4 linked regions of the Arabidopsis thaliana genome follow. The protein of the gene in region 4 interacts with the protein of the main gene of each other region in a pairwise test. Each region holds a gene or a part of one and is shown on either strand. Other genes may lie near its edges. The genes, in order: RGL1, PTF1, MBD1 and AXR3.

Region 1 (7,672 bases), about 24 Mb from region 4:
ATACTTGGAAAATTGTTACAAAATTGTGTAAGTAAGTTATAAGAAACAACATATAAAAGTTTTAGAAAGGTAAAAGTATTTGAAAATTTGTTAAAATTTATGAGGATTTATAATAGTTTCCCAAATTTATATATTCATATAAAGTTTCTAAAGACAAATTTATGTTTTGCGTCATTACGAATTCCTGATGAACAAACCTCTCTACCGACAGAAACTTATGAACTTATGTACAGTATAATTATGTCAGCTCATGCATATTTCTTCTAAAAGTAATAAAATTGGTAGTTGTTAAATTGATTACCAACAAAATGTTACCTACGAAAATCATTTTCTTAAAATGATGTCAACATGCGATAACAGGAATGCTCATATATTATTTGGCGGTGGGTACTAATTAAATCAACGTCAAAAGAGCACAAATACATTTTAAACACACCACTGTCCTCCTTAATTAAAGAGATAATGACCCTTTAACCAATCTATTTAAAGTCCATGGTCTTAGGATTATTCTCAAAAGAACTTGACTACTGGTTCGTGTCATGAAACATTTATCCATATCTATCAGACTATCACCTTATATATATCATTATTTCATCTCTTATTCAATTTTAATTTTATCGAAAACCAAAGATGAAATAGAAAAGACCTTTTTTACCTTAATGAGAACAAGTGATAAAAAATCATTTCATTGGCCTGACCCTGACGTAATAGTCTATTTATGCGAGGTCAAAATCTCGTGACAAGTGAACAAAATTTAGAATTCATAAAATTTGGAAAACGTGGGACTTTTTTTCTTTATCAGCAATGCAATAAAGTATATAGCACATTTTCACTTTTCCCATTATTTATTTTTATTCCACACGATTGATTCGCCACGCAGATGTTGCAATAAGCGGTCGCGTTTGCCATCCAAGCAACAAACAACCTTCATTCTCTTCCACATTATACCCATCAGCCCCGGCATAAAGTGCCAACAACATGCTTGCTTGCTTATACGCGTTCGAACCGATACTAACCGGTTTAAATCCTCCTAAACCGAACCGGTTTCTCCACTGATTTAAAGTCTCATGCCTCTCTACCCGGTCTTCTCCTTCGCATGCCACAAGGTTTAGTATCTGCCGTCCTAGGAATAACTCCGACATCACTCGGTCTTGGCTTGGCGGGCCCTCGAGCGAGTCGAATAAGCTCGAATAGTAATGTAGCGATTCCGTGAACCGATCGAGAAATACGGTACCGTTATGGTTTGCTTCTTGCTCGACCACAGTCATTATATCCGGTCGGATTGATTTGATTGTCGATAAAAACTTATCGATGGAACCGGGATGAGCTAAGAGGCGATGAAGCTCGAAGACCGAGTTAACCGCCACTGATTCTAAACCGGGTCTAATGTCTAGCATTTCCGGTTTAAGATCAGACAAATTGTTTAAAGCAATGCTCTTGAATTCGAAATTGACACCAATAGTACTCGCAAGCTGACCAAGTTTCCAACCAACTTCTTGAATATCGGTTAACGAATAACCGATCCCGGTTAACCGAAAATCCGGTGGACCATTAGGACGTAAAGCAAGAGCTTGAATCAAAGCCGGCCATTGTAAACCATGGTTAAGTCCTAAATCAATAACATGAACCTTCTCCGCCGTAGCAAAAACCTCAAGTATCGCTTGATTCGCCGTAAAATGCGCAAACTTGAGATACGGACAAGACTCATAGAAATGAATCTGAAGAGTGTCCGAAAACGAAGACAACGCGACATCGTCTCGAGGGTAAATACGGTAAATCCTTCTCGCAAGCCCTTCAGCGAAGTAAGTCGCGACTTTCCTCATAGCACCAGCTTGAGAGGACGCGAGTAACCCCACGTGCTTCACGAGCGCGTCGGCTAACTTCAAATTGTTCTGTTGAACAGCTTCAGCACAAGCTAATAGCGCGTGGACTAAACGCACTCCAGTTTCTTGAGAATCCAAAACCACCACAGAGCGCGTAGAGGATAACTCCGATTCAATTCTCGTCCTCTTGCTCCGACGAGTCACGTGCTCGTCACGTGGATACACTGCAGAGCCAGGAATAGCTCTAAGATCGTACTCTGAGTCAGGCTTTTCTTGAATCCGGGTCGGGTCAAGATCCGAGAGCATGCTTTCGACCCAACCAGAGAGATCAGAAGGATTGTAATGAACAGTTTCATCAGAAAGATTCGAGATTCCATCACCAAGAACCATCTCTAACTGTTCAAGCTTGTGTGCCACGTCAGCCATGTCGGATGATCGAACTTTGTAACCTAAAACAACCAAAAGCTCGTCAACTCCGGCAGCTTCTTCTTTAATCACCGTCGTCATTGATGAACTCCCACCTTCTCCGGCGGATGATTCACGGTGGTTGTGCTCTCTCTTCATTAAAATTGATTTGCAAGATTTTGTAAGATGAGAAGAAAGAGAAGAATAAGAGAAAAGATTAGGAACACGGGAGTGTCATAATAATTGAAGAAGAAGAAAGAAAAATAAAATTCTATTTTTAAATAATGATATGATTTTTTTTTATAATGTATGATTATTATTATATAGAAAAATAAAATAACATTTGGGGTTTCGAGCTAGCTTTTAATTGGAGTATATGAAATTTAGTACCGGCAAGTTCTTAAAAGCAAGAGCAGAGCCGTGGTACAACCGCAATCTAAAGCAATTATAAAAGGAAATTTATTTACCTATTTTATTTTCCTCTTTATATAATATACAGTAAATAATAGTAGATTCCTTTCTCTTCTTTTTCTGCGAATAAATTTTAATTTTCAAAATATGCTTCTCGAGAAAATTCAGTTTGATTGATGTAAACCTGACATCATTATTTGAACGAGATATTCTATAATCTATGCTATGTCATAATTATTTTGATTAAAAACTATAACAACTTGTTTTTGATATTTGATTATTTTGTGATTTTGATTATTTGATGAAGACTAGGTGTAATATTAAATAACGGTTATGATTTGGAAGTTGTATTGTAGAGAAACATTTAGGTTAAAAGTCCAATTTCTAAAGCCAACCACCACCCTTTTTTCAACTACAAAAACATACATTTCATTTTTATAGTTTTTGGTGATTAGGAGATTTACTTTTTATGTGTTGTGTTGTGATTATTGTTCAAACTTTTATATCATCTTCATAAATGAGAATAAATAAAGAAATTCATTATGTTCATAAGAAAATATATTAAACTATAAATTTCAGGGAAATCTTGTTTAGTTTTCTGTTTTTATATTATCGGGTGATTAATCTTTAGGTGATGTAATGAATTCTATTTTTACCAATTCCTCCATTTCATATAGAATAATGTTTGAAAGTTGTTTTTTTTTTTGCATAATGATGGCATTGTACGTTTCACATTTCGAATGTAGATTTTCAAACCGTATTACTAATACAAAAATTGAATTTATATCATCGCCATTCAATTGTAGTATTATGATTGTGGTCATATTTGTATATGTTTTATTATTTTTAATTGACTAAAAACGTAATTTAGTGATTTGTGCTAGTGTGCAAGAGCTGATGTGACACCGTCGAAGTTCAAACTCATATGCATGTTGTTGTTGATACAAAAAAAAATTGGTAATCGGAAAATACATGAAATCTAGCTATTCTTGTAAGCGTCGTTGTGAAATTATCACTCGAATTCGAATCACCTTTGTAACAATAAATATTTCTTACTTTTTTTGTAGGATTGGCGCTCTTCCTCAAAGAAATGACTATCAAGTAGTGTAAGCATAAGAGATTGACAAAACAAAGCAAAAGATGTTTTATGTAAAATATTTGCATATATTTTTAGTTGCGAAAAAAAATTACAACTAACGTGCAAAAATGTCTTTTGCAAAAATAATTAAGTTGACTTAAGAACTGTCGTCAAAATAACCCAACAAGAATATATAATAATATCATTCTATATTCTTATTAGCGATATTAGTATTATATATTTTTGTGTTGTAATACGCATTTTTATTATATACTTGTGTTTTAGACATGTTCAAAAGGCGATAGATGGAGAATAAATAAAATACTGTGTGGTTACGACCATTATTAGATGTGGAGCTCTTTCGGTATGAGCTTTAAGAAAGATACATGCAATCATAAAACATTTTTAAGCTTCCCCATATGCATAACCATTTTTCATAGTTCTACAATGACCCTTTTCACATAATGCATATCCTCATTTCGAACCAAGATTGTTACTTTGATTGATTAGGTTATACTGTTAGATGTTGATGTCTAGGTCCAAATATTTTTGATAGTTTCTTTAATTTCTTTGCTATTAATAGTAGACTAGACTTGATCATTATGATAGTTAGGAGACTTTTCCTCAAAACATGTATGTAAAAATGTCTAAACAATGATAATTAAAATTAAGGTTCTATTTTAGTTTAGTAGGTTTTGTTTACTAATACTTGTTGGAAAGTATGATGATTTACAAGGATGATTAGTGCCTTGAAAGAGAAATAGTCATAATTAAGTGACTATATTCTATGACATTGTTTAATTCAACAGTTTTCATCAGTATTATTCGTTCTTTTTAATTTCGAATCGTTTGGTACCTTCGGTTATTGGTTGGTAAGAACTTAGTAGTCTACTTGCTCTTTTTATCATCACCAATACATTAAGGGAATAAACATTAATTGGTTACCCAAATAATGGGCTAAAATACTACATGCTAAACACTTTCGTCCGAGAGATTAATTCACGAGGACCTAAAGTACAATAAGAGAAAACAATAGTCCACTAAAGTGGAGCCACTCAAAGGGGTATTGCGTTATCATGATCAGCTCAGAGATCCGACTTTAGTTTCTACCATGTGAGTGCACTTGATAGAATGGTCTTCATAGCCCATATAAGAAATTCAAGAAAATGAGCAGAGTAATATTTTTGCGATGGGACTTAAATCCTAGCAATAGGGTCATAGATTCCTCCTGAAAGCATATCCAACATAACCTAGAAGTAGAGTTTACATTCCCAAGAACCGTCAACTTGGCACTTCTAGTGGTAAATCCCTTTGATCACCGAAAACGTAGAGATTTTAGAAGTCATGTGTTCGATTTGTGTTGGAAGGGGTGAGCTTTCCAAATGATGGTTTAGACCTCGCTCTAAGGGATGTACGAGATCACATACATGCCCATAACTTCCCTATATATGTCCATTTTAATTTCTTGAATTTGAATTGCAGTTTACAATCTTAAGTATTTAGCTAGACAACTTGATATTTTGAAAATTCTTATCTATTTACAAAATTTGATAATTGTGATTTGAGTCCTTGTGAAATTTTCTTACACTGCATGTAATTCTTATCTACCAATTGTTAACTATTTTTGTTGCTTTCTTTTATTCACTTACAATTTACTAATGTCTTAGGTGGTGTTATTCAATTATGGAGTTAAAGTCAATTCTTTAAGCTTTAGATTTGTTTTCCGATATTGCTTTTAAGAATATGTTTGTATGAATTTCAAAATCTCTGCAATATGTCTTGGATTTTGATTCTAATGATTTACTCATGAAACTCTAAAGAACTTTCATTTCAAATCAATTAATATACAAAGATTTTACAAGTCTTTTAGTTTTGAATAACATTGGATTTTAATGAAATATTTAAAATCTTAATTGAATAACACCAAACTTTAGAATCTATTAAGCATGATTTACAAATATGAGTTCCAATAACACTAGATTTTAAAGCTGGATTTAGAATCATTAGTTAAATAATAGTGGATTAGTGTTGGATTTCAATTCTATAAAATCCATTAACGAAAAACACCCCCTTAGTTAATTTAGAAACCATACAAAACAATCTTTTCTTTTGAGTTAATTTTGTAAACTTTTGTGTGATTGTTTTAGCTCTCATGGATTAAATACCATTGTAGTGTAATCTTTGGGTTAAAATTTGATCTATCATGTTTTATTTTTATCATGGTTTCTAAAAAAATAAAATAAAATAAAAATTCAGATTAACAAAATTCGTTTTGGAGGAATATACATTAATTGCCGATTGGATATGTGCTAATCTCCGAGTATGACGAACATAAGGGCATTTAAAAATCGCATGATTAATAGATTCTTCTTCTATTTCACATCTAAGACAAAGTCGAACTGTTGTGAATTTCCTTCATTTGTAACCAAAGATTTACCGCCAATTATACTCTTGATGCTTGTCAAATGAAATGTTTTAATATCGACGAACACGTTATTTGTATATTGGGTTAAAATGACTTATAAGTAAATAAGTAATCAATGGTTTTCAAAATAAGTGGCTAGAAACGATGCCAATATTTCAAACCATCATGTTTTTAGATATTATCCGAATGAATTAGCTGGGATGATTAATAACCTAAAATATGTACGATAATAATATCGTTAATGTGGATTCCTAAGGGGTCATGTGCATTGTCAAGATTTTGACTTAAAATAGAAAAAGGCTAGACAATGTTAAAGTGAAGTAGCCGTTGTTGTACTAAGAAGGAATTAAAGTAGTTGGATTGTTATGGTGGGGCAAAAAAGAGGCCAATAATTTCATAGCCGATTTCGGAAAAAATTAATTCAATTGGTACCAAAGAAAATATAAGTAGAAAACAAATAATTACGAGCTTACCCCTAATCAAGGTCCACAATGACACAACACTTTCTTTTTGATGATTTTGGCCCTTCACATTCATACATATGACACCAATTCATGTTGGTGTGGGGACTTCTGTTTGCTGTATAATATGATCGATCTTTCCATGTGACTCACGTTCCTTGTCGCTCTCAAATTTTTGCCCCATCTCCGATCGATTATCATCACTCACAAACTTTTCAATATTTTGTTTCTCTAAAAGTAATCTTAAAAGCGTGTGGTCCCTATGAATGCGAATTATTCGTATACATGATGTGAATTAGAAGTTGTAAAAATTGAGAATGCAATTAAAATACCTAAGTTTTGTATTCTTTTAAGATTTTGTTTTCTTATTAATAAACAAGTTAATTTTTAGAGAATCCAATGAAAATTGGCTAAAAAGTTTAGAGATATAGGGTGTGATTGTTAGCTTCACACCGTAGTGGTATATTCGTACCGTTTTTAATATAACTAACCACATAACAATATCAAAAACGAGATAAAAAAAAAATTAAGATTTTTTTGCCGCTTTTTCTATTCGCTACATTGCATTGTTTTTAATTATATATATCATTAACATTTAGTTTTATTCGTTAATTTTTTTTATTCTTTATACATTACCAATCGGATTATAGTGTGAACTTTTTTTTGTTTGTCTATTGGCATTTGTTCATTTGGAATCTGGGTTCTTCTACTTCATTTTGATTTACTTATTTTTATTAATTTTGTTATTGTGGCATTATGGGACACGATAATTTCCCTATTTAATTAAATCAATTCATCTATAACAAGAGAGAAGACAATCGTGAAATAGACAGTTCTTTTTTACAATATTAATCCATTTTCGGTGCCTCCTAATTATGTGAACTAAAGAAATATCTAATAAGTTCCATTGAACAGGTTAGTAGTCAAATGTGTCATACAATAAACATAAACCTGTCCACTGGTTGATACCACTAAACTTGATTGTTTTCACAAAACTATTGGCCAAAGAAAAACGAGACATGAGTGTGTCACAAAGAAAATATAAATTGAAGGTAGTACTAGAGTTTGA
Region 2 (7,798 bases), on a different chromosome or scaffold from region 4:
TATGATTTTTTATAGGAAAAGATAGACGACCACCCACCACGCCACGTGGAAAAGGGCATCAAGTGGCGTAGACGTAGGCTACTTTGTTCATATACAACTCGACACGTGTCTAATAATCAACGTGCTCAACTACGACAGTCCCTTTATTGCCACGTGTATCCAGCCTGACTGGGCCCCCGACACGGCAAACCAAAGAAATACGTTAGACATTTTTTTTATCTAAACATTTCTACGCGCCTTTTCTTGTGGCCTAATTAACTTCAAGTTCTAACAACAATACTAATAAGAGTTCAATATTGGTTATTAAGAATGTGCTAGTTTCTAATCCTTTGTGGTAATTTCATTTCGGTAAATTGTTGTTACATAATTTTTTGAAATTCATGCAGCAGAATAATAGTAATAATAAGGTGGAGAGGAAAGAATGAATGAATGGGAGGATCTCCTAAAGAGACGCAAACAATCAAAGAGGAGATCGAGAAGTGGGACACGCATAGTGGCCAACTTGTACTATTTCTTTCTTTTTTTGTATGTTTGAAGAAATGTTTTGTTTCAAATCTATTTTACCCTAAAAAGGTGATAAGATTAGTGACACGTTTCGCTTCTAGAATACACCACGTACCACTTTATTCATTGCTTCACGACAACATGTAGCCAAGTTGCTGTGTGACATGATCACATTTAAGGATTTAGTCAACCGGGCTTCAGTTTTGTGGTTTACCTATTTTTGCTTCTATAACTAAACTTACAAAAACTTCTCTACAAAAGAGCTACAGAAAGCATCTGAACTTTGATCCATTGGGCTTTTCTTTCATCACAGTTGGCCCATACACATTTCTTTTGTTGGCCCAAGATTGTGATCCAGGATAGTAATACTAAATTAAATTCACATAGCTTTTAAAATTTATAAACAAAGATATGGTTGTAAAAAGTAATGTTTTGCTTACTGCCTATGGGGCCATCTAACACATATGTGTTGGGTTACCATCTCTAGTAGTATCTACCATATGGACTGAGCATAGGGATTGGTGTTTGGGATAGGAACAGTGCATAATAAAGGTGTAGTGTATAAGACAACAGATAGACTGATAGAGTAGTAAATTTTGTATCTCTGATTTTTCTAGTTATTGTAAGTCTTGTTCAAATTTTTACATTTTTCATATTTTAACGTGTCACTTTCCCCAAAGAAAGAAATACCAACAATTGCACTAAACTCCAATTCTATAGATATCGTACGCATGCATTTGCTGCCCAACAGTTTTTATATAGAAATCTTAATAAATTTATTTATGATTCATATTGCAGTTAATTAGTGTTGTGTATTCAACCATGTTATAATTTCTGGAAGTGAAAATTTTGCTGGGCTGTTTCTGCTTTGTTGGGTATTGAAATGATAAGAGTAATTAAAAATGTAACTATTGGGGATAATACAAGAGACGGTTAAATTGAGAGAGAAAAAGTGATAGGAAAATTAGGGGGACCATCGAGTGAATAACTCTCTTTCTCTTCTGTTTTCTTCAGTTTCTCTCTCGAGATGCCCAACCTCTTCACTCTTCATCTAGTACTCTTTAGCGAGTATATATAACAATCACATAATAAATACTTACTCTAAGTCTTAAATTTTATATATAGTTACTTTGTTTACATATAACGGACGTTCCTAGCTGTATAATTCACAATTAATAACTTACACACTAAAAAGTTGAACCTACGAAATTTTCTTAACGTAAATTTTAAAATCATTTGGCTAATTAACTAGTATATCAGATAAACTTACACATTTTCTAATGGAAATTAAATATTCTTAGTAACGCATAGTCATACTTGCGCGTTCTTCTTAATTAGTCTTTCAGAAAAAGTGTCAATATATCTTCTGGAATATTTAATATATAGTCGTATATATGACTATCGAATCTCAGAAATGTGGCTATCAATCTATCTATATGTGTATATATATATAAACGTGTTTGTAATTTTGATAAAGATCTGAAACTCAAGTGGAAGAAACTGAATTGTATACGTCTCGAAATGGCATGCGTACCCACGGTACTGTATATGTGTAGATCATTATTTGAATATCCACGTCAACCGAAATTAATGATTTGGTGTTCTATTTGCAATATTCACGTAAGCTCACGTAATTCATACGTTTTTGTTTGTCTTGCTAACTTTAGCTTCATCTCATTTATATACGCTGATATTGATTGCTATTTATCAAATATGGAGAAATGTGTTTAACTTTTAACATGATTTTTAGGATATTATTGTCGTTGATATATATATCCTTCACATCATTAATTATTATTATGGATGTGAAAATACTATAGAAAAGCTATTAAAACCCCAATCTTTGTTCATGAGACAACAAAATTCTGGAGTCGGTGAAGTAGACATGACTTAATGGATTCTAAGTTTGTCCGATTTCTCCTTTGTTCCCATGTGATGTCTTAAGATAAAATGATCATCATCACACTTTCTTTTTCTCTTACTCCTTTGTTTCGATTCATAAGGATATATTGCTTTCGTCCACTTCTAATATTCTTATATCACTTTATTTAAAAGACAATGTACAATTTAATAAAATTAATAATTTGATGAATGTTATTGATTCATATAGATATTTAAAATGTATTTGAAAAAGGGGTACAAATCTTATTGTGAATGGATAATTAATTAAGTTGCATACTTCAAAAGACAATCATGTGGATACTTTTTTATTATTAGTTTTATGGATTTGAAATTCTGAAAAATACTCGTCTCAATTATTCTTAGAACATTAAGTTTGACCTAAAAGAATGGTTTGACTAGTAATATGGGAATTATATAGGTGCCCCTTTTCACAGATGATGCATCCGAATAACAAAATCATATTACTTCTTATATCCTACCGTCCATATTAATTATATTAGATTACACATTTAAATATAATATATACATCATTAGATCTAATATAGAAAATCTTATTAAAAAAAAATCCTTATATAAAGAAAAATCACAAGGTTAACACAACCTTATCGATAAATAAAGATGTTAAAACTGATTTTTATATATGAAGCAAAAGTAAATTAGGGCTTAGTGATGTCTAGTTAAAGTACTTGTGTTTTGAAAAGGTAATGAGTCATGACTCAACAAGGTACACAAGGCGTGCATCGGGTAAACCACAACCTTTTGTAATTGTCGATATAACAGCATGCCAATATTCACATGGACCATATACTGTGTGTATATTATATATTACCATATATGTGAGTTACATTTCATATTGTAGAACCAAGGACTAAATTTAAACATAATGTACCATATTCTTTTAATTAGATTATTCATAAGATATCCAATTTAAAAGATGAGTTAAAATGATCAAGAAAACGCTACGCTGAACTCTAAAGTCTAATCTTTATCATTTATAGAAGTGTTATGAAACAAATCAATACCTGGTTAATAATTGATGTAGTTTCATTTTTTTTTTTAAGAAAAGAAAGTGATGAAGTGTTTAACTAGTCATAATATTATAGATCCAACTTCATTTCAATATATCACGAGTGCATTGGCGGCTGCAAAACATATTTTTGAAAAGAGCAAAAAAAAAAATCAAGGATCATAAATAATATAGGTCTTGGCTTTTTAATTCTACCAATAGATTTACAGTGGACAATTAAAGAAAAAAAATCACGAAATTATCATGGTTTGGCTAATTGAGATAAAATTCATACGTTTTCCATCAATAATCGTACATCATCCATTTCACAACAATAATTATTCCTAAAATGTCGTTATTTTCATAACATTGGTTAGATGTTCTAATAAGCTACTATTATATATAACTTCACGTCAATGTATGTTTGATTTTGGCATCTAAAATTTCTGTAAAATTTAGATATTCGCGTATACTTTTTTTGGGATTTTCTTCTTAGCCGTATTATAACTGCAACTCATATCACATACGTGGATGATAAAATATTCGAGTTTAATATCTCCTCCGTATGTAGATTTGATATGATCCATAATATTAAAGATGAAAATGAACTTGACTGATTATTCAGCGCATTCATTTTATTTTCCCTTCGAGGATAGCGAAATCCGCCACGTGGCATTACTACATCCATTGCTTTTTTTAACATAAATACTTAAGTCGCAATTCTTCTAAATTTTGGAGGCTTATGATATTGGTAGGGTTCTCATATTCACTTCCAAAAGCATCTTCTTCTTTCTAATTTTCTTTTTCTTTTTATCTTATTTTCATTTTATTCATATACTTTTTGAAAAGAAAAGTCGAATCACATACTTTCTTCTCTCTATTTCTCATTCTCTCTTCTTCATCATATTACTCATTTTATAGAACAGCAAAACCCTAGATTTCCTGTTCAAGCTCAAGACCGTACAAAACTTTGGAACTCATGTAAGAAACAGTACACGTTTTTTTTTTTGTTTCTTCTTCAGTCCGGATTATAAGAATTTTGTCGATTGAAGAAAACAGGCTAAATTAAACCCTAATTTTCTCTCTTAGACAATTCCTACTTTCTCTCCATTTTTCTGGATTCGCTCTCGTTTTAAAAGGATTCAGAAATTAACTATATTATTTGAATTCTTTTGCCATAATTCCCTTATGTTTTCTGCTAATGGATATACATTTGGTCTTCTTTCTGTATTAGATATAAAGATCTCGAGAATAGCATTATGAATATCGTCTCTTGGAAAGATGCAAACGACGAAGTTGCAGGCGGCGCTACGACAAGACGTGAAAGAGAAGTAAAAGAGGATCAAGAAGAAACCGAAGTCAGAGCCACCAGTGGCAAAACCGTAATTAAAAAGCAGCCTACATCGATCTCTTCTTCTTCTTCTTCGTGGATGAAATCCAAGGATCCGAGGATTGTTAGGGTTTCACGCGCCTTTGGAGGCAAAGACCGTCACAGCAAAGTGTGTACGTTACGTGGACTACGTGACAGACGCGTGAGATTATCAGTCCCAACGGCTATTCAGCTCTACGATCTTCAAGAACGGCTCGGTGTTGACCAGCCTAGCAAAGCCGTTGACTGGTTGCTTGATGCAGCTAAAGAGGAGATCGACGAGCTACCTCCGTTACCTATCTCGCCGGAAAATTTCAGCATCTTCAACCATCATCAGTCCTTCTTGAATCTTGGTCAACGGCCCGGTCAAGATCCGACCCAACTCGGGTTTAAAATCAATGGATGTGTACAAAAGTCTACTACTACTAGCCGCGAAGAAAACGATAGAGAGAAAGGAGAAAACGATGTCGTTTACACAAACAATCATCATGTTGGGTCTTATGGAACTTATCACAACCTGGAACATCATCATCATCATCACCAACATTTGAGTTTACAGGCAGATTATCATAGTCATCAACTACATAGTCTTGTCCCATTTCCATCACAAATTTTGGTATGTCCAATGACGACATCACCAACAACTACAACTATACAATCTTTGTTTCCATCATCATCGTCAGCTGGTTCAGGGACTATGGAGACATTAGATCCGAGGCAAATGGTAAGCCATTTTCAAATGCCATTAATGGGTAATTCTTCATCTTCGTCTTCCCAAAACATTTCGACATTATATTCGTTGTTACATGGTAGTAGTAGCAACAATGGTGGTAGAGACATTGATAATCGGATGTCGTCGGTCCAATTCAACCGAACTAATAGCACTACAACGGCTAACATGTCGAGGCATCTAGGCTCGGAGCGTTGTACAAGTAGAGGAAGTGATCACCATATGTGAAGTTAGATTATTGAAACGATATAATTGTTGTTTGATGTGTTCAGAAATAAGGGGACACAAAACAAAATATAAGGTAATTACTATTGTACTATGTTTTGCTGATATATTTTTTAATAGACAAATTAATGTTATAAATTGATTTATTAATTTACTATTAGCATGTGTTTTGAAACTTTCTCATGTATATATATATATATAGCTTCCTCATAGGATCTGAATACACACAAACATACATGAAATGTATTATAAGTATCTGATAGTAATGTATGCACTTTGAGATGAGAAGCTAAATTACATTCAGATTCATCAAATATTTAGCAAAAAAAAAAATCAGATTCATCAATAGGTAACGTAATAATATGAAATTGAATCTAATAATTTATACTGATCTGTTATCGAGGTATTATGTTTCTATTGGATGCACGGTACAATGCAACTATAGAACTCAATGTGACCGTAGCTAGATAGATTATTAGATGATGATATAAGTGGAGATTCCACAAAACCCAAACAAACCTAACATTACTATGTCATGTGAAGCAGATATATATTGAACCCATTATCAAATAGAAATTCATCATGAATGGTTATTATACATACAAGTGCCCATTTTAAAATCTTATTAGCATAGTAAGTAAACTATCAAGATGCAAAGAAGCCATTCCCATATAAAAATTAAGATGTGTAGCTAGGCTAAATGGTCTCGATAATAATGTGTAGTAGTGAATAGTGATCACATGCATGTTCACCAATGAAAGAGTTAGGCTAAAATGCAAATTACATATGTACATGCTATGTTAATATTTATAGTAGGAGGTAAAAAAGGAAGAATTAATAAATGAAGAAAGAAGAAAAATTAGTTAAATTATTATAGGGGTGATAGAGACAAAAGCTTCTAAATAATGTTGTGTGTACGATCTTTGATTGATTTGAGTAAAAGGCTACCGATCCAATGCTCTGTGACTCTGTCGTATATCATCATACTTTCTGCAAAAAGCTTCCATGTCGATCTCTAGCTATCATACTACATGCATATATATATATATTAATTCGAATTATCTGGTTTTACGTTCCAACCTCACAAAAATTGATAGCAAACTAAACTACGGAGGACAATAAATGACGAAATTTGAATTTATTAAGTCGCACTAAAAATTAAAAACATACTGTATCAAACAAGATTTGGTTTTGAACTTTTGATATGTTTTGTAACGTCTTTTTATTGTTGGGCCAACCACTAAGACCCATTAGTTTGAAATTCTGTTTGATAACCTGAAAGCCCATCAACGCAAATAATTGTATCCTTTCTAATTATTACATCATCGCTGTAATAATCTTAATCTTACTATATATGAAAATAAATAATTCTTTTTATAATAAAGATTAATTTAATTTCCTTAAAAATGAAAAAAATAGTAATTGCCTTTAATTTTCTTTAAAAAAACTCAGTAGTTCCTCTCTATAAAGTTAACGAAAATCTCAAACTTGGAAAATCTCCCACCCTTCTTTTTCTTCGCCTTCTCAAATTGGATCGAAAGTTTTAAACTTGGAGCTGGGTTTTTGATTCGCATGCGAAATTTCCTCAATTTCGTTTGTTGGTGCTTTCAATTTCACTTCTTCGCTAGCATTTTCTCTCACTGTGTTCGCCGCCGATAGCTGCCCAAGTTGTGTCTGTTCTTCTTCCCCGGTGAATTTTCAGTGGATAAAGCTTTTTCTCCGGTAAAGCATTTTACTTCTCTTAATTGGATTCGTTAACTCTCGCTCTCGAGTTTGCTTTGTTGCTTTCTACTGCTTTAAATTGAACCCGAAACGTCTATTCTTAGTGACCGGAACAAAATTGATCTTTCATTAAGTTCAATTCTTCGTTTTTTAGTCACTTTTGGGTTTAGTATAAAATTGATTCTGATGTTTTATTCTCTCTTATTTGTTCTTAGGTGCCTAAGAGAAGACTTTCGAGGGAAAGATATTGGCTTTTGTTTTGTGTTCTGAGAGGGATACGTGTTGTGTTGGTTTTTCACTCAAGAGATGGTTCTACATGTTATGTTGGGTGAAGTTGTAA
Region 3 (7,313 bases), on a different chromosome or scaffold from region 4:
TTAATGCGTGATCATATTTTTTTTTTTCGACACTTAATGCGTGATCATATATGCTACGTTGTTTGTGACTAAACTATAAGTAGTTCTGTAAATCTGTAATAATGTGACGTAAAATCATTCAAAGAAAAATTCTTCACTTGAATTATTTAATTTACCATGCGTGTAATTAGTAGTTATCGTATGGGGTAAATTTCATTTTGTAATTCTCCTGAAAAAATTATAATTCTTAAAATTATCACAAAGAAAAGTTATAATTCTTAAAATTTAACAGAGTATAATAAAAAGCCTCAGAAATAAATATATTAATTTTTGAACAAAGAAAAAAGGATAATTATCCATGAAAACAAAAAAATTGTCAGCTCGATTTCATCGAAATTTATAAACTTTATTCCTCAATTCAATTTGGGGTTTGCTTCATTTTTTTCTCCGACCAAACAAGTTCCGGGTGTTTTGAAAGAACCCCGACAATGGCGTGGAACGTGTTCAAGTTCTGCACAGCACTTCGCGCCTTGGGTTCGATCATGATCTTAATTGTTATCGGGATCATCGGATTCACATACTACGCCGTTGTCGTCGTTAATTACGGACCTGCTCTACTGATCGGTGGTGTCGATTCATTACTATCTGTTCTCGTCTTAGCGTTCTTCCACTTTCTGGTAAACTCAATTCTTCCTTCTAGGTCAATCTGAAATTTTTAATCTTTTTGTGACCCTTTTGAAATTTTTGCATTTGGTACCCTCTAGATCTCTGCTAATTACATGATACGCTGGTTTGGACTATGCTTTAGTTACTTACGAATTGTAATCTTTTGGGTTCTGTCAGATGCACCAACTTGATTTTGCTTTGATAATATTGAGTCAAAGCTTGTTGCTTTGTTGTGGTAGTGGGCTCAATCTAGCTTGGCGTGTGGATTTACATTTGTGTCTGTTGGATTTTAAGTAACAGCAAGATGAGATAGTGAATTAGGATAGTATAAGCTAAGTAAGCAATCAAGTATTCATCTTTTTTTTTTTGGTTTGATTTGGTTGTAGTGTAGAGTGTCTTTGTTTCTTTTAGTTTTAAAGCTGTTGGTTTCTTGTGTGTTTTAATAGATTATCAACATTTGAACTCCCTCGCATTGTAGAACTCACAGAGGAAAGAGTAAGGAAGCAAAGGACTCATTTTTTTTATGATTGTTGTTTTGTTTGCAGCTTATAATGCTACTGTGGAGTTATTTCTCTGTTGTTGTGACGGACCCTGGTGGTGTTCCAACGGGTTGGAGGCCAGAATTAGACATAGAGAAAAGCGAGGGAAACCAAGCTTTGATTGGAGAAGCTTCGGTTGGAGATTCCTCGTCTCATGGTGTAAGATATTGTAGAAAGTGCAATCAATATAAACCGCCTCGTTCTCACCATTGTTCAGTCTGTAAGTCTCTTCAATGAGTGATTCTTTTCTTTGAATCCGGTATATGTGTTTTTTAGTAGTGAAAAAGTTGTCATATTGGGTTTTCAGGTGGAAGATGCATACTAAAGATGGACCATCACTGTGTTTGGGTGGTGAATTGTGTTGGTGCAAATAACTACAAATCATTTCTCCTATTCTTGGTATGTCAACTTATCATAGCATCGCTGAACGAAGTTGTTTTTGATATGTTCTGTTCATTAATGTTGCCATGATCATAATCCATTCCCAATATCTCAAAAATGCAGTTTTACACATTTCTTGAGACAACGGTGGTTGCAGTATCACTATTGCCAATTTTCCTCGTATTCTTCAGCGATGGAGATGGTGATATAACCGTATCACCAGGAAGCCTAGCAGCCAGCTTTGTTGCATTTGGTGAGTTCAAAGATATAGAAATCTCAGTTTCCGTTTTTGTTTCAGAACACCTTAACGTTACCATCTGATTCAAAAACTTCACTCTCTTGCTTTCCAGTATTGAACATAGCATTTGCCCTAAGTGTCCTAGGCTTCCTAATAATGCACATAATGTTGGTCGCTCGTAACACCACAACTATTGAGGTAAAGCAACAACTCTCACTTGGTTTTGCTCTTAACTTGGGTTCTCTCAGGAATCTCCATGTCAATAAACTCACTGACCAAACTAATGGTTTCTTTAATCTCAGGCGTATGAGAAGCATACAGTGAACTGGCCATACAACGTTGGTCGTAAGACAAACTTTGAACAGGTTCGCTCTCCATCTTCTTTGTTTCACTCGTTCTTCAGTGACTGATTCGTTTCCCCGCTACTTAGATAATATCTTTGACATCGAACACAATGAAAGCTTTAAAAAGTTTGGTCTCTATTCCTTTGTTGAATCAGGTTTTTGGAAGTGATAAAATGTATTGGTTCGTGCCATTGTACACGGAAGACGATAAGAAGAAGTTGCCAGCACTTGGAGGGTTAGACTTTACGAGCAGGTCGGAGTCCGAGACAGAGCCGCTTCAGTCTCTATGACCTTACAAACTTGAAATTTTTGGAAGTGTGTCTTCTGCTTTGTGTATGTATCAATCAAATATTATATCAAACATTGTCTTGTGTATTATAAAGATTAGTGCCTATTGTGGAATTTGTATCTTTTTATTTCGTGAAAAGAAATTTCTCAAACTTCTTAAATATACCATTTTCACATTTGCTTAAATATACCATTTTCATTTTTTCACTATTGATAATAATAACATGTTATTTATCATAAAAAATAAAAAAATCACGACACGTGAATGATGTACTGTAACTATCAAAGATTTGACGTACCACATACTTTCTGTATGTTTTTGATCGAATCAAAAATAATTATTTTTGTCCTTTTTTGTTTTATTGTTATTTTATAATGTAATACTTTTACTAAAATAATTTTTTTTAAAAACTAAATTTCTGGTCTATATAATTTTGGCCAAATATGTACATATTTAAAATCCAGAGTCAACCATTTAACAAACACTTGGAAATTTAATTAATTATTATGCCCTGTTTAGTAGAAAATCCATTAAAAATTACAGAAATGGTCTGCGTGTCGCATTGAACCAATCATATCTCGACATCTGTAAATACAGTTGGAGAAGATTTTTTCTTCTTCTGCTGGCCAAAAAAAAACATTGCATTAAAAAGGGTTCAAAGAAAAATTCTCAAATTCTCTAACAAAGAGCTCTGAGATTTTTGGAAATCTGAATCGTTGTTCGAGGTATGAACTTTTGGATCACTCTCCTTGAATCTGCTCTTTGATTCGATTTCGTACTTGAATTTCGCAATTTTGGAGTTTTCTCTCGCTTCGTTATACTGATCGTTTAGGGCTTGAAATTGAAGGTTTAATGTTACCATTTCCGGCAATGAACTTGAAGAAGTCTCGATCGGAAAACTCATCAGTTGCTTCATCTGGAAGTAAGATTGAGGAGCAGACTGAGAAATCAGCTGAACCAACAACCATTAAGGTAAACCTCACTAAACCTAAACCCGGTTTCAATTTTGCTTTGTGGTCTCTCTTTACCACACAGATCTTATCATTGAATTCTATCTCTTAATTAGGGTTTTAGTTGAGAATCTTAAGGTTTTTTTTCAACCAGTTTCGAAGACTTAGTTACTAGTGTTATTTGACGAACTGATGCAGACATAAAGGTTATAACTTTATTTCTCGTTGTGTCTTTGGCTGATCAGTTATGTATAAAATTTAATCAATATTTATGCTATTTAAGGTTTCGCAGTGACCCTTTTCTTCAAATTTGGTTTTTGATTCTGCATGTTCTCAGTATCACTCTTTTGGTGGTGTCCCTGTTTTGACTTTTGTGTTTCTCTACGCATGTTTTCTCATCTTGCTATATATTAAACGATTTGTAGTATGATTCTGTTGATCCAAGTAGCTTGTGAGTGACTGTTCTTCTTTTCACCGAGATTCCATATTTGTATTGTGCAGGTGCAGAAAAAAGCCGGTACTCCAGGGAGGTCGATAGATGTCTTTGCTGTGCAGTGTGAGAAGTGCATGAAGTGGAGGAAGATTGATACTCAAGATGAGTATGAAGATATCAGAAGTAGAGTACAAGAGGACCCGTTTTTTTGCAAGACGAAAGAAGGTGTGTCCTGTGAAGATGTTGGAGATCTAAACTATGATTCCTCCAGAACATGGGTCATCGACAAGCCTGGCTTGCCGAGGACACCAAGAGGGTTCAAAAGGAGCTTAATTCTGAGAAAGGATTACTCGAAAATGGATGCGTACTACATAACTCCTACTGGGAAGAAGCTCAAGTCTCGTAATGAAATCGCAGCCTTCATCGATGCCAATCAGGATTACAAGTATGCACTGCTTGGAGATTTCAATTTCACAGTCCCAAAGGTGATGGAAGAGACGGTTCCTAGTGGGATATTATCTGACAGGACCCCCAAGCCATCAAGGAAAGTTACAATTGATTGAGCTACATAGCGCTTCCCAGCTTCTTATGGTGTTGAAGTTGTTATTGGAGTCAGTTTTAGGTTTCTATCTGGTTTAGTCTTTTAAGGGTGTCGGACTTCTTACTGTAGAATGTTTCTTAAACTCATCTCTTTGACTCTGATTGGATCTTTATTTTCTAATGAAGGATTATCTTTTCTTCTCTTTTTGTTATGTCACAAGTCACAACTACATGAATCGCTCTGGTTTTCACTCAGTGTGTACAAACAAACACGACAAAGTATATTCAAGCAGCATGTGTACAACTTCTTCTACTCCAAGCGCACCCTCTGCTATAGCGTGCGGTGTGCAAGTCCTCGCTTATGGGCTATTTATCCCATTCAACATTGAGTATTGGTCATAACCTCTTGGGACTGAGAGCTTTATGAAAAGAAGCCTTAAACAATGATTGCATATTTGGGATTTTCAAAAAGAAGACTCACAACATAACTTTATGTATGTTTCCGCTCTTGGGTTTTCTGACCAGCCCTTGAAGCTAGTCCTTTCTCAAGGTTTTGTGTATGTTTCATTAGTTTTTGTTTGTATCTGGAGTCTACCGTTTATTAGAAGTTTAGGTTGCTCCTTCCACCGTCCTTACTCCTTGGTTTAGTTGAATAAGCAGTTTTCTCATGTGGTCTTACTTGGTATGTAAAGGCTAACCTTTTGTGGGCATGCAAAGTTCTAAATTTAGACTCTTTAGGATGAAGATTACATGGCTACAATTTTTGATTCTTATATGTGATTTTTTCTTCTTGTTATTCGTCGTATTTGGGGTCCTTTTTCGCGATTTACATTTGCCTCGAAGACTGCTTGTGAGCTTTTGTAGTTCTGCATCTACTGTTCTTTCCGCGCTTTCTGTTGACTGCGAGTGTGGTTTTCACATTATTTTGTTTGGTGGTAGCATTTTTTCTTAAACTTCGGTGGTTATTTTAAGTTATGTTCAAAGTTTTGTTTGTAATTTCGTGGTTCCGAATGAGTAGCGGCTTGATTATCCGTATTACTTTTGGGTTTGATTTTTCGAATCACTCTCGAGCTTTGTTCCTAATTTATGCAGTTTGTGTTCAACTTGTAACTTTTTTTGTATATGCAATCTAAGATTAATGTTTATAGAATTCATCTTAGATTGCCTAACGATATTTTGAATATGGCTTAAATCTAAGATTTAAAACGTACAAAATCATGCGGAAACTCATTTTGAACGGAAAAAACTCGATTCAACTAATGAACATATAAATTATAGAATAGATAAAATAAAATGGATTTAGAAAAACAGTAGAAAATATTTATAATTTTGCCATGTTTAGAAGAAAATCCATGAGTTTAAGACAATGAGCAAGAGAAAATTACAGAAACGGTGTCGAAGTTAACCCATCAGCCAATCAAACTGCGACTCCTGTAGAAACACAGTTCGAGAAGATTCTTAAATTCTCTTGCTGCATAAAATGGCTTAAGAGAAAATTTCTCAATTCCAACAAATATCTCTCAGATTGTTGGGAGTCCGAATCGTTGTTCGAGGTATGAACTTCAAATTCGATTACGGTGAATTTTAATGTTTGATTTTGATTTCTGATTGAATTTCAATTTCGGGTTCTTCGTTAGGTCTAGTTCGCTTCAGGTCTCTGGTTTTTTCTTCATGATATTTACGTTCCTGAGTTGTTTGTGACTTGATTGTGATCGATTCATGTAATCTTCCTGATTTACTGTTGAAATTGCTTTGCAGTTAGAGAATTGTTATCTTGCTAGAGATTGTGTTGAATTGCAAATTTCAGATTTGTGTTTGATGATAGCGTTTTATGAATTCTGTTTTTGTTTTTGTATACTTTAGTTTTTATCAGGGAAGATGCAAGGAGGTGGTGGTAGAGATCCTTTTGGTGGTGGTTTTGGGGGTCCTTTTGGTGGTTTTGGAGGTGGCTCTTTTGGTGGTTTTGGAAGAGGTTCCTTTGGTGGATTTGGTGGCCCTAATGGTCCTCCGAGTCTCATGTCTAATTTTTTCGGAGGAAGAGATCCATTTGACGACCCTTTCTTCACTCAGCCTTTTGGTGGTGGCATGTTTCAATCCAACTTCTTTGGTCCCAGCATGAATCCTTTTGCAGAAATGCATCGTCTGCCACAGGGTTTTATTGAGAATAATCAGCCTCCAGGACCGAGTAGATCACGCGGACCGGTTATTGAAGAGATTGATTCAGATGATGAGAAAGAAGGAGAAGGTGATAAAGAGAAGAAAGGAAGTCTAGGGAAACATGGCAGGTCAAGCAGTGAGGCTGAAACTGAAGATGCTAGAGTGCGAGGTGATACCTTTTTTCTATTTCTACCTTGGTTTTAAAGTGGAATGAAATCGTTCTTTTCTATGGAACTGATTGTGTTTTATGTTCGCTGCAGAGAGAAGAAACCGGCAAATGCAAAGCATGAATGTAAATGCAGAGAGAAGGAACCGAGAAATGCAGAACATGAATGTGAATGCAGAGAGAAGGAACCCACAAATGCAGAACATGAATGTGAATGCTATGGTGAACAATGGACAGTGGCAACCTCAAACCGGTAGTTATAGTTTTCAGAGCTCGACTGTTACATACGGTGGTCAGAACGGCAACTACTATACTTCCTCAAAGACCAGAAGGACAGGAAGTGATGGGGTGAGTTACATTAGTAATGTAATTGCGTGTGTGTGAAAGTAAGAATGTTAGCTGATACTTTTTACTAAAACCGGTCTTACTGTGAAACAGTTAACTCTTGAAGAAAGCAGAGAAGCCAACACTGCAACGCGGGAAGCAGCGCATATGATTTCAAGAGGCCTTCATAACAAGGTACATATATACATACCTTGAGGATAATAAAATCTGTATCTTTTGTTGTTGGATCAGTTATAAGTTATGTTCTTATGCTTGCAGGGCCACACAGTTGCGCGTAAACTTAACT
Region 4 (8,218 bases):
GCAAATCGTCTTTGATCTCACCGTTAAAGTTTTGGGGATCAACCAATATCAGATATTTTGAGATCCCAATATATTTGATTACCATTTCACGATGATTACAAATGAGTATATATAAATAAAATAAGAACAAACCTTAATTAAATCTCTTTGAGAAAATAAAGACTGTTTAGTTATCATAACACGTATAGAAATAATCTGTGGACCATCACCAAAAACGCAGAGATAACAAATTAATTTTTTTACAAGATTGTCTATTAATAAAATTGGGGGTTTAATTAATCTAGTAATTAACCACTTTTAGAAACATTAATTAAAAAGTAGACATTCCAAGCAACGGTACTGTGGTTAGCCCCCACCACGAGGCTATATTGTTAAGAGTTATGCCAACATATAGAATAATATATCATGAGCGTATAGAGCAGATTCTCGCATTTTTACTTTTTAAATATATACTTCAAGAAAACCATTTAATTATCATTAGCTAGAAATGTGTAAGAACATGAGCAAATTGTCTGAATATGTACATTCTGAAACTATATTCAAGGAATAGTTAATTTGTAGTCATTTTCTTCTTCTTCTTCTTTTTATATTTTTAAATCGACAAATTCCAATTCATAAACAATTTTTATTATATGGGATAATGCGACAGTGGAATCAAACTCCACTGAAAATAGACTTAACCATTTGATTAAGATACATCTCCATTTATAGTCATTTGCTAAATGAGTGTCTTTCACATATTTACTTTCGAATTAGATTTCTTGAAAAAACCAAAGGAATTGAGATAATCTACTAACTATTAACCTTCACAAAAAGTTACATAAATAAATATTAATAAAAGACGACTAAAAGGAAATATTGTATATATATGATATATCGTCGGTCGAAAATGTCAGAATGGAGATGAAGCAAACTCACCAGAGAAATAAATAATGCAACAAATGATAGCGGAAATGATTGCTTCAATATATACTAAGATTTCTTTCTTTTCTATATTATTTTAAGTTGTACAGAAAAAATGAACCATTTTGTGGTGGAGAACAAGGTTCAATAGTTCAATACATATTATGTGTTTAGAACTAAGCAACATAATATAGATGTAAATATGTAACTTATACTTAGTAATGTACATATCAAAAATTTTAAAAATATGACTATTACACACTTTAAACTAAATATGACTCGAACAAAAGTAAAATAATAGAATGGAGAACTGAAATATACTTTTCTATTAGGTTCTTTAAATTCTAGCCAATTGATCGTTTTAACCCATATACATATATAAGACTGTAGAGCAAGTGTTGACGTAAAGTAATTTGTTTGAGTCTCAAAAGAGTTGTTGCTTTCACATACAATCACATTTTACATTTTAGTCAATGTAAACTTATTATTTGGTTGTGGATCGTTTCAATTGCATGCATGCAGCAATGCATGTCATTTGGCTGCATTCCTTAAATGCGAGAAGTATATTCCAACAACTAATGTAAATGAGAAAACTATAAAAAAAAAATTGAAGATGGACACAAATGAACCAGTACTATTGATTTATTTTTCTGTGTGGTAGAATGTTGAGAGTTGTGGCCTTGTATTGTCCACATGAAAGTACACCTGGTCCTCACACGTTCTTATCTTGCAAGTTCATAATTAACACACATATATACCTTTGAAAATAACTCATTAATTTCGACACCATGCATATAAAATACATGATTAGACCTATATATAATTTTCCCAAAAAATGAAAAATATATATAATCAAGTGAAAAAGCATTACCAAAATTACACATCAAATTAAGATGGTCTCTATCGTGTGACAAAGAAAATGTGGTCTCCATATGTATCCTTGAGAATACTGATGATATATGGATTTGGTTGCATTGGTTCAATCTCATTAAAGTTTCGCATACAATCCATTTATGTGTGCGGGCGCATTTTTTTGTAATCATGTAGGCTGGACCGAGAATTTATATTATTCACTGGTTTACAATTTCATGTGAATTCCATAGTGATCAGTAGATATATATATTGATCAGACAAAGTAGATACACATTGATAAAACACGACAAAATGATGTGATATATAAGACAAAGTGACCCAAAATTCGATTGAAAAATTTGGGGTACGTTGATTTGAAAACTCATGAGAGTTTTTTGGGATAGAAACAAAAGGAGAGAAAAGGGTTAAAGAGGAGGATGTAGACAAGGCAAGGAACAAAAGTAGGGTTTAAGATGTTTTCGCCCCTGAATTTTATTTGATGTAACTTGTCCCTTTATCATCTCCATGTTTTTCTTCTTCTCATTAATTTAAATTTTGGCTTTGGAATTTATGGTGATGTTAATTGTACCCTCTCTTCCTTTGGATTTTGATGCCACTCATGTCCCCTCTCATAGATTTTATTAGGGTAGGAATATGCCTTTTTCCCTCTTTATTTTCATATTTATTGAATTTACGTTGGTTAATTATGGTTAGTACGCTTGGTGTTATTTAAACGTCCCGTATTCACAGTTTACGCCTAACTGATTACTTTGAACTAAAACCAGTGTCTAGTAGATCACTAAAGTCGAATTTTGAACGAAAGTTTGAAAATTCGCAAAAGCGCCGTGAAAATACAATTCCAAAACATATCATTTTTGTTTTTGGAAGCGTGATTGATGAAATAAAAACAAAATATGTTTTGGAAGTGCGACAGAATTTGTTTTTTTGTTTAGAAATGCGATAATATAGACAAATTAATAGAAAATGTAATACAAATTTAGGTGCTTTCATAACTACAAAAAAAAAAAAAAACTACCCTATTGTTGAAAACTTTCATACTACAAGAATAACACAAGCAATATAAAAGAAGAAAAATAATTTTCAATAATCAAAAACAGACATTATATTTTAGTAGTCAATTTAATCTGTAAATATCTGTAAAGAAAATTAATCACCAATTTTATTGTTAACTACAAAGTGGTGTTTATAATATTGCAATTTATAGTTTGTTAACTACAAAGTATAAACATTAAAGAGTAATGATGCGTTTTTATGTGTCTAGATACACATTTCGCTGTACGTGTTTATAGGTGAGTTTTTAATCAATAAATATTGAAGATGTACCGTATGCTTTATTTTGTATTGGCATGAGAATAATTATATACAAGAGGGCTGCGCTTTTATTGTGGGATGAATAATTGAATCATGTGGATGTGATATGCATAATTGGAAGGTTCCGGCGAAGAATCTTACGGGGAAAAATAATCAAAATCATGAATATATATTCATTAGTTAATAATTATATTTAGAAGTCAAAAAGCATAATATAGTTATATTAATAATAATGTACATCTCTATTGTAACACTCTCATATGAGATGTCTGCGACCTCGCCACTCAAAAGAATATATATTTATAAACTATACGTTGATATAGTTTTTAAGACCATATGGTATATACATATATTTAGTTAGATACCCCATATCAATTAATCGGTTCATCACCACTTAATTCACTTGGTTGCTTCGAATGTGTTTCATAATTCACTTGTAATTTTAAAATCTTTCCTTCACTTGTGCTTTCGCTTGTAATCTCAAAATGTTATATATCTCTTTTAACGGGAGAAAAACGATTAAAGACGGATTAAAATATATATCCATTTTGTATAGTCAAATGCAATAATATATACATAATCTACAAGATAAATCATAAGAAAGATTCAATAACAGTAATAGAGTAATAACAGTGATTACTGATTAGTCTAAAAGACTAAAACTCGAGGATGATGACTTAATCAAAGGGCTTAGATTCATCCACGTGTCTAAAACCCGTTTAATCAAAGATCTCTTAAATACGACATACACATGCAGCTACCTCCTAGACAGAGATATAATACAGACTCATCTCACTTTGTATTATTTGAGTGTTTTTATAAAACCATTTTTCCATCTTCCTCATCACCTTCCCAAGAAGAAGAACACCAAAGAAGAAGAAAGGTTAATAATGATGGGCAGTGTCGAGCTGAATCTGAGGGAGACTGAGCTGTGTCTTGGTCTTCCCGGTGGAGATACAGTGGCTCCGGTAACCGGAAACAAGAGAGGGTTCTCAGAGACGGTTGATCTGAAGCTAAATCTGAATAATGAGCCTGCAAACAAGGAAGGATCTACGACTCATGACGTCGTGACTTTTGATTCCAAGGAGAAGAGTGCTTGTCCTAAAGATCCAGCCAAACCTCCGGCCAAGTAATTTTACTATTTTGTCCTTTATGATTTATTTTCCACTCTTCTCTACTGCTCTTAATATTAACATTTTTGTAAAGGTGACTGCAAAAAAAAACAGAAATTTCATTAAAGATATATATTTTTCTTCGCCAAAACCATTTTATCATATGTCTACGGTTTTTTTCTCTTCTTAAATCGTCCAATGTCTTAATATATTTAATTATGTTTAACCCATAGTCTCATGCAAGTAAAATTTATGTGACATCACGTCAAAGCTAACTACAGTCTATATCTTGTATAACATAACCGTTTTTCCGTTTTAAAAAAAATATAGGGCACAAGTTGTGGGATGGCCACCGGTGAGATCATACCGGAAGAACGTGATGGTTTCCTGCCAAAAATCAAGCGGTGGCCCGGAGGCGGCGGCGTTCGTGAAGGTATCAATGGACGGAGCACCGTACTTGAGGAAAATCGATTTGAGGATGTATAAAAGCTACGATGAGCTTTCTAATGCTTTGTCCAACATGTTCAGCTCTTTTACCATGGGTACGTTTTATAAGTATATTCCTTATATATATATGTAGATCCTTCCATGCACATTTAGTTACTAATTAATTGTTACTATAGAAAGAAAAATTAATCATCATGATGATAGATCAGTCCCAAATGAATTACCGTTATCGAGTATACAAATATTTCATAATTGAGTAACCCGTTAGTAGTAGTTTAGAAACTGTGAAAAGAAAACTATGTGATAAAATCCAATTGCGAAAAATGTATATTTCATTTGTTGCACCATAAAAGAAAACCACCAAGTTTAAATTCAGGATATCAAGTTCTTATACCTAAGATTATTTTAGGCAAACATGGAGGAGAAGAAGGAATGATAGACTTCATGAATGAGAGGAAATTGATGGATTTGGTGAATAGCTGGGACTATGTTCCCTCTTATGAAGACAAAGACGGTGATTGGATGCTCGTCGGCGACGTTCCTTGGCCGTACGTCTTCTTCTTCTCCCTTATTAATTACCATTTAATTAGAGCTTTATTGTTTCGGTTAAAATTCGAGCTTTATTTTTGTTTATGTCATTTATTTGTTTCTAATAAATAACCATTTGTTTTAATCTTTTTATTTATTAGAATGTTCGTCGATACATGCAAGCGTTTACGTCTCATGAAAGGATCGGATGCCATTGGTCTCGGTATGTATTTTCTACCAATGCATATTATATTCACATTGATTAAATTTTGATTTCAGTTTGTTACCCATTTAAATTAAAATTTACGTGTATATGTATACAATATAGTTAAAATAGCTTACAAAAGAGATTTGCCCCAAAAAGAAAAAAAAAACTTACAAAAGAGCTTAAAAGTTTACTATAATGTACACCTCAACCGCATAACTTGGTCGCCTAAATAATTTAATATGCTATCGTTTAAGATGATGTCTAATCATCAAACGCTTAAACCGTTCATTATTTTTCGCACAATTATATTTCTACCGTAAAGAACAAATTTGTCGAAAGAAAACTTATCGCTTTGATCTTTTAAATCATTGATATAATACATGATATTTGATTCTCTTTTGTCAAATGCAAAAAAAGAAAGAGATTAAATAACAGAGGGAATAAAAAATATACTCTTTTAACAGAATAAATACCGTGGTCAAATGTCTTTGCTTATTAATTGTAAAAATATTTCAGCTCCGAGGGCGATGGAGAAGTGCAAGAGCAGAGCTTGAAGTCAAATTAAAAGGATAAGTGGTATCGATTATATATTTGATTAACACATTGATTGGTGTTAATTGCTCTTTTTTTTCTTACGATGAAATACATTGTTCAGTTTCTTTTGATTGTCTGTGTTTTGATCTGGATTTGGTATGTAGATATAGTTTGTATGCTATTATGTGTAATGAACTTAAGTTAAATATTTGAGACATTTGTAATGGAAAATGTGTAATAATTTGAACATCCTATTCCTATGTATATGTTTGTCTTTATTTATTTATTTTGCCAAAGATGTGTATATTCGTATAAGGAATATGTGATTTTTATTCCACTATGGAAAATTTAATCTCACATTACTTCTCTTTAATTTCAGTCTCTTAATAGTCAGTTATTTTCTAAAGGCAGAACAGTATTCTTTTGGTTCGTCTTGAAAGTGAAACTAAAGATCATAGCGATCGAGTATTTGACCCTAAAGTAAACTTTCCCCAAGTATAATTTCGAAGTCGGTATAATTAGAATTACAATATTACAATATACATATGTTATATCAGATGAATATAATTACAAAAATGGGGAAAATTCACTTTGTTGGTATATTGATTTGTTGGTACTTAAAGTGATAATTGGCTTTGGTTGGAGGAAATAAAATAGAGAAATAGGACCCATAGGGAAGAGAGGGAGCAATGCCATGTGCATATTCATGGGTCTCTTCATTTCATTACCTTTGTTTATCATTTAATTTCCCATTAAATTAATTAGGAATATTAACTTTTATACCAACTAAATTTATTAACAAGGTTATCATAATTATACACAAATATCCTCTCTATAATGAAAAATGAAAAACCACTAGAAATATGGAATTACGTTGTATCCTTTATCACTTTCAGAAATGAGCTACAAGTAATTTATTATTGTCAAGAGATTGCACATGTGTAAAACTTGAAGGTAAAAGACATATATATGCAATAAAATATAGATATATATATATATATATATCGATGACATAATAGATATAGTATAATAACATATAGGGCCCTTTTGGATTAATGGTGTTTACTGGTTATAATGGAGCTATTCTAAGCAGTCCTTATTTAATTTGATGTTTAACGTTAAAAAAAAGTTTAAGAATAAAATATATAGATAAAATAAAGAAAACTGAGAATGTAAATATTGATAAATGGGGAAGCACATGGAGAAGATGTTGAATCCCAAAACGAACAAATCGAAGTTTTAGGAAAGTATCGTTCCAACGTACATGCATGCATATATATAGAAAATATGTGTACTAATGTATGTGTAAACACAAACATTGTACAATTAGTTACGTTGAAATGTTTTAAATTTCAGTATCTTAATATTTGTCTTCATTTCTTGGATCAGGCAGAAGCATGTTCGATGTTTGATGGGGTCAATAATTAATTTGACAAGTTGACGCTCTAGAGGATTCTTCACCAAACTTAAATTATCGCAGATAATACATTATTTAAAAATAGATGGAGCAACATATAAAACTATATGTTAAAAATATTTTATAGTTTTAGAAAAACTTTTGTTAAAAATAATAAAGCTATAAACAAACAAGAAAAACGGGTGATAGTTTCTCTATCACATAATAATGGAATCCATTTAAAATTCCATAGGCCTCATTACACATGATGGGCCGTGGCTTTTCTAAGCACAGTTGTTATCAAGATAAAGAAGCAGAAGAAGTTGTAAGGAATTTTCTAACCGGGTCAAGTATACAATATATGTAAACCATAACGTAAACCGGATATCAAACCGGGTCGTAGGTCGAACCTGAACTTTCTGATTCTGTTTTTTTTTTGTTGGTGTCCGAGTCTATTCCTAATTAGGGTTTGTGGTGGAGCTCTGTTGATGTTTTGATTCTTTCTATAAACGATTCAATGGTTAGTGGTGGCATTCCTCTTACGAAATTTTCTTATTATGCATGTGATGGAAATTTTCAACACCAAACATGAAGGAATGCGAAATATGAGTTACCAGTGAAGATATTTGTCCGATAAATGAGGTTGTGGCTACAAGTGTTTTGTCAAAACAATAATGGCTTTGTGTTCGGATGCTGGCTTTAAAGCTTGAGCTCTTGATTGAGTTTGCTCGGCGCTACTATGAATCATCAGATTGAATGAAGAAAGTTGTGTACTCTGTTCTTGTCTCTTTATGGATTCAAACCTTTTCTTCTCCTTTAACAAGGTTCATAAAAACCAAAAGAGAACAGTTTTGGGAGACCGAAACCATATCATCTCACAGACGGGTAACATCAATCCTCTTCCTC

Evidence for each region.
Region 1: the proteins of AXR3 (region 4) and RGL1 interact in binary tests that used the Arabidopsis thaliana proteins (3 or more experiments, as listed by UniProt).
Region 2: the proteins of AXR3 (region 4) and PTF1 interact in binary tests that used the Arabidopsis thaliana proteins (3 or more experiments, as listed by UniProt).
Region 3: the proteins of AXR3 (region 4) and MBD1 interact in binary tests that used the Arabidopsis thaliana proteins (3 or more experiments, as listed by UniProt).

The regions. Positions count from the first base shown.
Region 1 is NC_003070.9:24,743,042-24,750,713, reverse strand, and holds RGL1 (RGA-like 1), read right to left. Parts: upstream 2,610-7,672; 5' UTR 2,388-2,609; coding exon 852-2,387; 3' UTR 528-851; downstream 1-527. UniProt on the Arabidopsis thaliana protein: Probable transcriptional regulator that acts as a repressor of the gibberellin (GA) signaling pathway. No effect of the BOI proteins on its stability.
Region 2 is NC_003074.8:386,851-394,648, forward strand, and holds PTF1 (plastid transcription factor 1), read left to right. Parts: upstream 1-3,869; 5' UTR 3,870-4,393; intron 4,394-4,646; 5' UTR 4,647-4,671; coding exon 4,672-5,739; 3' UTR 5,740-5,917; downstream 5,918-7,798. Other genes in the region: AT3G02160 (Bromodomain transcription factor), read left to right, coding at 7,765-7,798. UniProt on the Arabidopsis thaliana protein: Plays a pivotal role in the control of morphogenesis of shoot organs by negatively regulating the expression of boundary-specific genes such as CUC genes, probably through the induction of miRNA (e.g. miR164).
Region 3 is NC_003075.7:11,944,490-11,951,802, reverse strand, and holds MBD1 (methyl-CPG-binding domain 1), read left to right. Parts: upstream 1-2,998; 5' UTR 2,999-3,161; intron 3,162-3,283; 5' UTR 3,284-3,288; coding exon 3,289-3,408; intron 3,409-3,887; coding exon 3,888-4,382; 3' UTR 4,383-4,593; downstream 4,594-7,313. Other genes in the region: AT4G22750 (DHHC-type zinc finger protein), read left to right, coding at 468-656, 1,191-1,404, 1,492-1,583, 1,689-1,818, 1,916-2,001, 2,106-2,168, 2,303-2,437; AT4G22740 (glycine-rich protein), read left to right, coding at 6,238-6,685, 6,777-7,030, 7,121-7,201, 7,286-7,313. UniProt on the Arabidopsis thaliana protein: Probable transcriptional regulator.
Region 4 is NC_003070.9:1,132,405-1,140,622, forward strand, and holds AXR3 (AUX/IAA transcriptional regulator family protein), read left to right. Parts: upstream 1-3,673; 5' UTR 3,674-3,977; coding exon 3,978-4,216; intron 4,217-4,529; coding exon 4,530-4,741; intron 4,742-5,055; coding exon 5,056-5,194; intron 5,195-5,335; coding exon 5,336-5,397; intron 5,398-5,898; coding exon 5,899-5,936; 3' UTR 5,937-6,259; downstream 6,260-8,218. UniProt on the Arabidopsis thaliana protein: Aux/IAA proteins are short-lived transcriptional factors that function as repressors of early auxin response genes at low auxin concentrations.